Regions from separate parts of the Mus musculus genome. Here regions 2 and 3 are each reported to be linked to region 1. The links are microRNA targets in miRTarBase. Many come from high-throughput screens and were not tested one by one. Region 1 holds a microRNA gene; each other region holds the end of a gene's coding sequence.

Evidence for each region. Region 1 holds the annotated microRNA mmu-miR-544-5p (UCUUGUUAAAAAGCAGAGUCU, at 2,128-2,148, opposite strand). A microRNA usually pairs through its seed, bases 2 to 8, with sites in the 3' UTR of a target mRNA and lowers its output. Matches are read on the target gene's strand: a 7mer-m8 pairs with bases 2 to 8, a 7mer-A1 pairs with bases 2 to 7 and ends in A, and an 8mer does both.
Region 2: the mRNA of Fhdc1 is a reported target of mmu-miR-544-5p. Seed matches in the 3' UTR shown: 7mer-m8 at 2,206-2,212.
Region 3: the mRNA of 4930430F08Rik is a reported target of mmu-miR-544-5p. Seed matches in the 3' UTR shown: 7mer-m8 at 539-545.

Annotation. Positions count from the first base shown.
Region 1 is chr12:109,728,383-109,731,482 of GRCm38, reverse strand. It overlaps Mir544 (microRNA 544), which reads right to left and starts at 2,158; the gene lies at 2,081-2,158.
Region 2 is chr3:84,441,917-84,444,995 of GRCm38, forward strand. It overlaps Fhdc1 (FH2 domain containing 1), which reads right to left. Exons shown (of 12, transcript NM_001205355.1): 12 at 280-3,079. The coding sequence ends at 2,551. Among named protein-coding and RNA genes, the nearest start is that of Fhdc1, 36 kb to the right of the region's middle.
Region 3 is chr10:100,570,715-100,573,793 of GRCm38, reverse strand. It overlaps 4930430F08Rik (RIKEN cDNA 4930430F08 gene), which reads left to right. Exons shown (of 7, transcript NM_175128.2): 7 at 34-1,520. The coding sequence ends at 228. Cep290 (centrosomal protein 290) reads right to left here. Exons shown (of 54, transcript NM_146009.3): 53 at 1,652-1,731; 54 at 1-914. The coding sequence ends at 687. Among named protein-coding and RNA genes, the nearest start is that of 4930430F08Rik, 17 kb to the left of the region's middle.

The DNA of each region.
Region 1 (3,100 bases):
GAAGAACTCTAAGCTCAGAATAGCCTATTCCCAAAGTCTGAGGCAGGGGGATTAACGTGCATTCAATTCTGGGGACCTCACTAGGGTAGCCTGGGTGCTGAGAGTCTGGAACAAAGAAGCCTGTGACCTTACGAGCATGTCCTGTTGTTTCTGGTCCATCATTTCTTCCTGGGCTTTGGGCTTCCCTCTGACATAGATAGGCCATTTAGTATTCACTTTTAGTAGCTGATAGCACTTCTCTCTGGCAAAGAGAGGAAGCAGGGGTGAGAGCTGAAGCATCCTGACCTCAGAAATGCCCTAAAGATGGCGTGCATGTGCTATAGGGTATCAGATATCCCTAGCACCTGGATTTACCTGGGCCAAATATACTCTTACAGACCTCAGGCCAATCCTGATAGGGCTCTTGTATGAAGCTGGCATCCATCTTGAACTGATTCCATCCAGGATTGGTCCCCACCAAGGGAAGAGTCATCCAGGCGGCAGGAGCTGGGCTTCCTGTCCGCCACCGGCATCATCCCTGAAAGGGAGACGCCCAAGAACAGCATCTTCCCTTACAGCAGGGATACAGGCCAACCTCCTTCTTCCAGAATCCCAAACAGCTGGGTTCATCTTACCTTTTGTGTGTGATCTCCACCAGCACAAAAAGAAAAGGAATCAAGTCTCTTCCAGAGCCGAACAGCAGGACGGGAAGCCCCATCGGGGTAGTGTCTGCACCTCAGTGGTGTCCACAGGAGGAAGGGGATGCCAGGGACAGGACCTCAGTGAGAACAAAGGAACAGGGTCAAGTTAGCTTGTCTTTCACAAGCCTGAATTCCGGGGGGTGTTTTTGAATGGATGTAACCCTGAAAACCAGTCTGTCCCCAGGGGAGTTGTGACTACTTCTCAACCATCTCATGGCTTCTCCCCACTGCCTAGCCATCCAGAAAGGGTTTGGCCCACATGCTCTGGCTGGGGAAGGCTATAGCCCTGGCATCAGCTCTCCTTTCAAGCGCACCCTGGCACTGAAAACTGGTAGAAGAAACGAAGGGTGTCCGTGAAAGCACAGCAAGCTCATCGCAAGCAGGACCAAGCTTCCTCGGGGTTGGTCTTCTCCATCAGGAATATCCAAGGAGCATCTCGAAGGAGCTGCAGGGCTCATCCAAGGCTCACACAAGGCAGGCAGTCTCATATCGCTTGTGCAGGGGGCCCTTCAAAAAAGCAGAGTTTGATAGTCAAAAGGAAGCTAACTGTGTCTCGTTCACAATAAGCAAACAGAACATGAATGACCTCAAATATTCTCAGAGATCTCTGACAGGAAAACCGGGGCCTCTTGTCTACTGTCCTCTCTCCTTCCAGAAGATTCTTCCAATGACAAATTGAATTCCTAGACTCTGAGAGGTGAATTCCCATAGTCTGTAAGAAAGCACATGAGCTGACAGCAACCACTCACTGCTACACATTGGTCCTAGGGCTAAAATCTGGTCTGACGGAAAAACTCATTCCCACAAGAGCTTCCTAAGGCAGGTCAATTTAGAAACAAAATGGAAGTCTATCTGGTCCTCCCTGAGAGGTAAGCTGGATGGCAAGAAGCCAGCAGCTGGCCGAATATCATGGAAGGGCAATGGCACCATGGGCATTACCTCTCTCGATAACGTCGAGGGTTGCTGGTAGATACGACAGATAGGACTCCTCCTTCCCCAGAAGCTGTGGTTCCAGAACTGTGCTCCTTACAATTGACTGGAAATGGAGAGTTACAGAGTCAGATGGTCTCAGTCACCAATAACCTGGTGCTGACAAGTCCTGCTGTTGGCTGACATAGGCAGCCCCTCCTTGAAGTAGCTCTTATATCTGGGAAGCCCATAGAGGCATGCTTTGATTTGAAAGAATAATCAATAATCAATAATGGTGTTTGTACAGCAGGTGGCCTTTCACAACTGACCACAGTTTGATCATCAAAAGGTAGCATATTGGCTCAATGCTCACTCATGATGGATAATGCGGGGTGGATGGAGGAGATGGAGCACACACACTACAAGGAACATGCAACATCACCTCCAGCCCCCAGTGGCTACATGTGTTGTCCACGGACCGGCAGCATTAGCATCACTTGAGAGCTTGCTAAAAATGCAGAATCTTGGCCCCTCAATCAGACTCTGCTTTTTAACAAGATCCCTAGGTGACGAATATCTTAGCAGCGTTGAGCAGTTTGAGAGGCCCTACACTAACCAACAATTTGTACAAGCATGCATGCAGGCACACACACACACACACACACACACACACACACACACACACACACACCAGATTATGGAATGAGCTGAAATGGTATGCTATTGACCAGGTATGTCTAAGAAAAAGTCAGCCCAAAGGAAGCCATAGGAACAGATAGAGAGTGACTTAAGGCAGCGGCGGCGGCAGGAAGTATCCTTATTAACACCTGTATTAACCACAGGAAGTCTATGCTCAGAATGGATGCTGAGGAGAGTGGGTGCTGGACCTAGAAGACCCTGGCCAAGTTCTGTCTACCTAAAGAGATGCTTGACCCAGTACCTTCTCAAGGAGTTCCTCTGAACTAAGACTTAACAGCAACAACAGACAGGTGAGTTATTCTCAGTGTTCTCCAGACCAAGCACAAAGAAGCAAGCCACCAAAGCTGTTGCCACCTCAAAGCTGTCACTGTGAGAGTACATGGGGGGGGGGGTGCCTTCTGAGGTTACTCTGCCTCAATAAATTCTCCCTCTCCTGCAGCAGGTACCAATGTCCATTAGCTGAAGTCACCACTGTGCTCTAGGACCTTCGGAAGCAAATCCAGATATGGGGCAAACAATGGTCGTCCCAATTAATCTCCATAAATATGGCGAGCACACTATTGATAGCCACCCTGCAAATGTCAGAGAACCACCGCACCGAGAAAAACCGCAGGACCTCCTCTCACGATCCAGACCAGACAGCTCGCCGGCCTCTGTCATTCAAGCACATGCTTGTGGAACCAGTCACACTCTTGAGCAAGGGGCCGGGGCCTGACCCCAGTGACTATCTGTGAGATTGGCTGCCCATCCAAAAAAAAAAAGAACGATTTGCCAAGTCATGAAAACTGTGCTATCTCACCATGACCAAGCCA
Region 2 (3,079 bases), not on the chromosome of region 1:
CTGGAACAAGAGCTCCAAGGAGCATCAAGTGTTCCGGCAATGGCTTGTGAGATAAACCTGCATCCCTACAGGCCTGCAGCAAAGCCCACTCCCGAGCCCTTGGTCCTGTGTGTGTTGTATGGAACCAATGCCAATAGAAATTTATTCTGACTCTCGAACCTTTGGAGGACAAGTTTTCCATACCCTCCCCCTTTCTTCCCACACCTCACCTTCTTTCAGGGAAAGAGATTAAAGACTCTCCTGGCAGGACAACTAAGACACATGTGCAAAGGCATAGCATAGGTATAACTCCTACAAACAACTTTATTAAGACTACCTGTTCCATAAAGTACGTAGAAAAGGACCTTAAAATGCATTCAGCGCATCCTCAACAAACGCATGTAGAAAGGCATTGACATTCCTCTGTTGCATAGATGATTCTCCCAAACTTACAGTGTATAAAAGGTAGTAAGAGACTGCCCACCTGCCCACCCACGTGTGCACAGGGCCGGCGACACCACTGCTTTCCCAAGCACGCAGCCAATGTGATCTGACAGCACCATACCAACAGGCTTCTCCGGAGGCTCCCCAGCCTCTGCTGAGGGTCCTAGAAGCCACGTCAGAAACAGACACAGGGTGACTGGGTAGCTCGATTCCTGGAAACCATCATGAAGGGCTGGACTCACTTCTATGGGCTGGGAGACAGACACTTAGGGAGAGTAGACGCTTGTACCGAACGAAAGCGGTGTTGGAATACGGCACAGGATGGGTCCCTGGGCCCTCCCACGGGGCTACTCAATTCACCATCCACAAACCTGTCAGCACGTGTCGTCTCTCATCCGTTCCCACCCACCCACAGGCCTTCTGGTTCTGGAGGGTTCCAGAGGGGGACAGATTGCTGAGGGCTTCCTAGCTGCCCAGACATCGCTGCTCAGGGCTGTTTTTAACAAGAGGTGGTGACTGCAGCCTATCTCTGCCACTGTACTGTTCAACTGCTGCAGCTCAGGGACAGCAGCTCAGTTCCCAGGCAAAGATGGAGAGGCTTCCCGAAAGGAGAGACCATAGCAGCCTCCGCAGTCACCTCACAGTGTGACACGCTGACCTAGCCCACCCAGTCACCAGTGTCTGATCTAAAGTGAGATTTCACTAAGAAGTGACTCAGAAAGAAGGGGGCAGGGCTTTTATTTCAAGCTTCCCCCCCCACTTTCTTCTCTATTTCCTGGGTTTAATAGAGAAGTAGTAAAAAGAGCATTGGGTAAGAACTTCTGTTTGCACGATGCCTATCTCCTGCACAGATTTCCCCAGTGTTAAGATTCCTGAAGTCAGAAGTCAGTGTTTCTTGGGGGGTAAGAGTCTATTTAAAATAAACAACCATGACTGGGCTTCTCTCAGTTGGACTTGAGAAGCGCTGTACCAAGGAAGACAGGCTGACACCAAGCAGTATCCCTAGGCTGGGCCTGGTGCCTTGTACCTGTTATCCTAGCACTCAGAAGCTGAGGCAGAGGATTGCAAGTAAGAGGCCAGCCTAGACTAGGTCTCACAATGTCTCTAAAAGCAAAATCAAATAGAATAGCAGGTGGGGGTGGGGTACTGAGGCCCCAGAAGAGAAGGAAGCCTGACCCACAAAAAGGGTCATTTCCCTCTCCACCCGGAGCTAACAGAAGCGAGTGGCCACCATTGCACACATGGGAAGGACCTACTCAGCTGGGCAGCCCTTGCTGTCTTCTACACCAAGCACCCTATCCAGCACCCTACACAGTTGCTCCTATCTTCAGGGAAAACTTCCCTATAGCCATGGGCTCCCCGCCATGGGCCTCACACCCTTGGGGCCCCCTTAAACTCACAGTAACATCAGATTTTTACCCATACAAATCTGACGTCCCTCCTATTCACATGAAATCCTCACCCAGAGTCATTTGAGGAGAACCCACACATTAGCTAGCCAGAAAGTTCTCAAGGAGACAGCCTCAACCGTACAACCACCCAAGAGCTTGTGAGAGGCCACCCCTGGCTAGGTATGGTGTGTGTTCTCCCACATACACGCTGATGGAACCCCGAGGCAGGGGGTGGGGATGAAGGTACAAACAGTTTCATATTAAGGATAATCCCCCCATTCCTGGGAGGCATTTCACTCTGAAAAAGGAACTAAAACATCTTTTTTATTTTTATAATATTAAAAAATAAGTCTTTGATATATAAAAACTGGCCAGAATTTTTTTTTTTTTACTTGTTACATAAGAATTGTCATCTTACATGTCCAGACTATTATTGGATCTTTGTCTCGGGGCAGGAGTTAGGGATAGGGTCCTGAGTATGAGTGACAGGAGGTGCCAGCCCCTGACAAAGTACTGTGCAGAATAAGGATACTCTCAGCTTTGATTTCGAAGCAGAAGTCTGCACAGCAGGCTATAGCTCTCCTTGTACCTTTAGTGACGTGACCTTTAAGCAGGTGGCACCAGTGTGTTGCTCGATGTGTAACAAGATGTTTAAGACTGGCCTCTGTGTCCTCCCCCCGCAGCAGCCAGTCCCAGCAGCTAACATCCCACAAGGCAGAAATGCAGACAGGCGTCATCATTTCTGCAGGGGACGGAGGATCCTCCCGAGGGTGGCCTGCCCCGAGTCCTTCAGTCTGAGAGAGGATCTTTCCGTCGTCCCTCTGCCCTTCAGTGAGGTTTCTACATTGGCACTTGAACCCCCAGCAGATTCAGGACACTTCTTGGAGGCCCGAGCACTGCTGGCCCTCTTCAAAGTGCCAATGTCCTTGGAGGCAGAATCCTCGGAGCCACCTTTGACCCTAAGCTGCCGCTGGGAGACTGTCCTGGTGAGGCCAGTGGTTCTGGCCGCGGGTGGAGCATCCGTTCGCAGGCTCCGAGATGACGAGGCCACCGTATTTCGAGCAAAACTTGGGATGGGGGGAAGGGCTCGAGAGACACCCGTAGCCTGAGGAGCCTTGGGCTCTTCCTTGGGACTCTCGGGGTCAGGAGAGTTGGGGCTGCTGACCTTGTTTTCTTCAGGTTTCTGCCTGGGGATGTTTCTGAGGGGCTTGGCGCTAGGCTTCCTGAACGAGGCTCTGGGCTGCAGCGGGGCGTCCTTCCCTGGC
Region 3 (3,079 bases), not on the chromosome of region 1:
AAAGTTAATACCATCATTTTTTTCTCCTTACAGGTCCATCGTCACCATCTTGGTTTATGCTGGCCACTTCCAGATACTTACATGAATTCCAAACCAGTTATTATTAACATGAACCTGAACCTGAACAATTATGACTGTGCTTTTGATAACCAGTCTTTGTTTAATCAGTTTTCAAAAATAGATAAACAGAAATTTGAGAGACTCAAAGACATAATACTTGATGTATAAAATGGAACTAATTGTTGAGATTATTGTGATTTTCTAAGACTGAATAGTTTGCATTTAATTTTGCTAGCTGTTTGGCAAAACCTGTCAACTTCTAAACATGTTTCTAGGTATTTATAGAAATCATCGTTAGGATTTGACTATCTTAACACAAAAATAAATATAAAATAATCAATTTTAAATAGTAAATTGATATAAGCTTACCTTTATGCTTTTTGAAAATTTAAGTTATTATGAAAATAGTAATATTTATCATAGCTCATTGTGCACTGTATAGTCATAAATTAATGAAGTCTTCAAAAATATACTTTTCTAACAAGTTAAAACTAAATATGATTTTTTTAAACAAAAAAAATACAATATTTTGAGCTGTAAATTCTATAACACAGAGACTGCTTGATTTCCAGCTGAAACTTTTTTCACTCATAAAATAGTTTTAAACCTGCAGTTACACGAGGGCACTAATAAATAGGGAAACTATGAGGACTTTCTCCATCTTCCGAGTGTTCAGAAGCAGCAAGAGGACTAGGCAGTTCAAATCCAAACTGTTCCGACAGTTTTTTTAGCTTCTCTTCTAATAGGATATTCTTTTTCACTTCTTCCTTATAATTATACTTCAGGTCTTCAATTTCTTCAAAAAATGAAGGATCAAAATTTTCCAGTTCTTTTTTCAGCTTTTTAACTTCCTCCTAAAAGTTACATACAGGATACATGTTTTTGGTTTGAAATTTTAGATTTAATTATAAACATAAAAACTCAAAATCTTAAATGTAAATATTTTTCTTTATATTTTACTGTTCAAGGTTCCGTTGTACCATGTGAATAATGTAGAAGCTGCCATCTTTAGCTAAATTATAAGATTAAATCTTTAAACTGCCTCAGATATTCCCAGGCAAGCGAAAGGGACTTTGCTTTTTTACAACAACATTCAAGAGTTTTCAGTATTTATAATGTTCTAATTTTTTATCTTTTATATATAATACTTATGATCATGGGAACCCTGGGACTTGGAAAGGTTAAGCACCTGGTGAAGTGCATGCTTACAGCATCTACACAGACCAGTGACGAGCAGCCAGACCACTAAATGATTTAAGGGAAAGATCCCTGAAAATAATTTCAAAAGGGACTTAGAAAACACTTTCCCCACCATGACCCACAAATTAAGAAAATAGTTTAAAAAAACTATTAAGAGATGTGCATTGGTTACAATTTAAAAATAAATTTATTCTCTAGTACTTTCTGTTTGTCTGATTTTTTGCTGTTGATAGTTGTTTAATAAAAAGTTGTCATGAGTCAAATAATAAGTGTGAAATAAATCCATGAATTTTGGGTTATACACTTAAAGATGGTGATCATAAAAATTATTTCCCAAAGCTGTTTTCACAAAACACTGAGCATACTAAAGTTAGACACCAATACGAATTACCTTCGAATGTTGCTTTTCTAGCTCCAACTTTCTGAGTTGTGTCTCCAGGTCATTTATCTTTTCCTTTAGTTGATCAGAATCTGCCAAAATAGTCAGGAAAATTATGACTTATGTTTTTCTTTACTGTGAGTGAGTTAAAGATAGAGGATTTGTTTCAGAATAAACAGGAAACATGAAAGCGAAGGTCTGCATCATCTGGCACTGTATGGTGGGAAGACTTCGCATGCAAACTGCATGGCCATGACTCAGCAAGTAAGGTAGCTGCCAGCTATCAGAAATGTGGGCTATTCTTTTTTTATATGAGAGGAATTCTTATTTTTGAGAGAAAAACCTTGCAACCAGTAAATTTGTTAGGTACTATGTATACAGGCAACGAATTAAAATGCTAAGCTGGCCACTTATGCCTTCACACCACATAGCTTTGGCTACTGTGTGTAAGGTTTTTTTTTACACTTTACGCCAAACATCTAAGACTACGTGTGGCACAGATGAAGTTGTGGAGGAGGAATCAGCACACAGGTTAATAGACAGTGTCCTGCCACTCCATGCAGTCTTTGAAAGGTAAAGAGTTTTGTTTTAATGTTCGAGTTTGATGAACTAAGGAAAGCGAGTTTTCATGGTAAGGACGGGAAGTGTACTGGAGTGCTCTGGGGTGTCCTCTATCACTCAGAGACTGGACAAACAAGCAGGGTTCCAAATAAACAACAATGCATTTTCCTTTTAGAGGCAAAAAAAAAAATAATGTTCCCCTTCTATTTCTATGTCATATGTCATGTAAATCTCAATTCTACAGATGAAGAAAAGATAAACTATTTGTCTTCCTGAGAGTTAAGGTGATCTGTAGTCACATTTTCCTACAGATATTTTTATGACTTAATAAAACTCTCCTATATATATGTACCACATTTTATCTCAGTGCATCTGTTGATGGACACAGTGGCTGATTCTATTTACCTGAGTGCCCTAGTAAACATGATTAGTATGTATATATTTCTTAGTTTGATCCTAGTCATTGAGATCTTATACACACTGTTGGTGAAAAATTGCATGAAGAAAATAGGTACAACATATTCTGAAAGTTCTGAATGGTCCTCATCTTTAAATGTTGATTTGGGAACATCCAAACGGATTGATTTTGACACAGGTATTCTCTGAAATGCGGTAATCTGCTCGCCTTCCTTCACTCACAACAGATACAATACAAAGGCTTGGGATTGGACAAGCTGGAGAACCTCCTAATGCATCAAGAAGTCTCTGGTACTGCGTTCAGAGCACACCAAGCTAGCGCTCACACGAGTTCCCTCCCAGTGGATGAACACTGGTTTCAGGTATCAGAAAGCACAGGAGCACAGGGCTTAAGACCGTGGTTGGCTCAGAGTTAATGCTTGCCCTTCCCATGCCACTTTCCATTGGTCCTGAGCTTGAGGA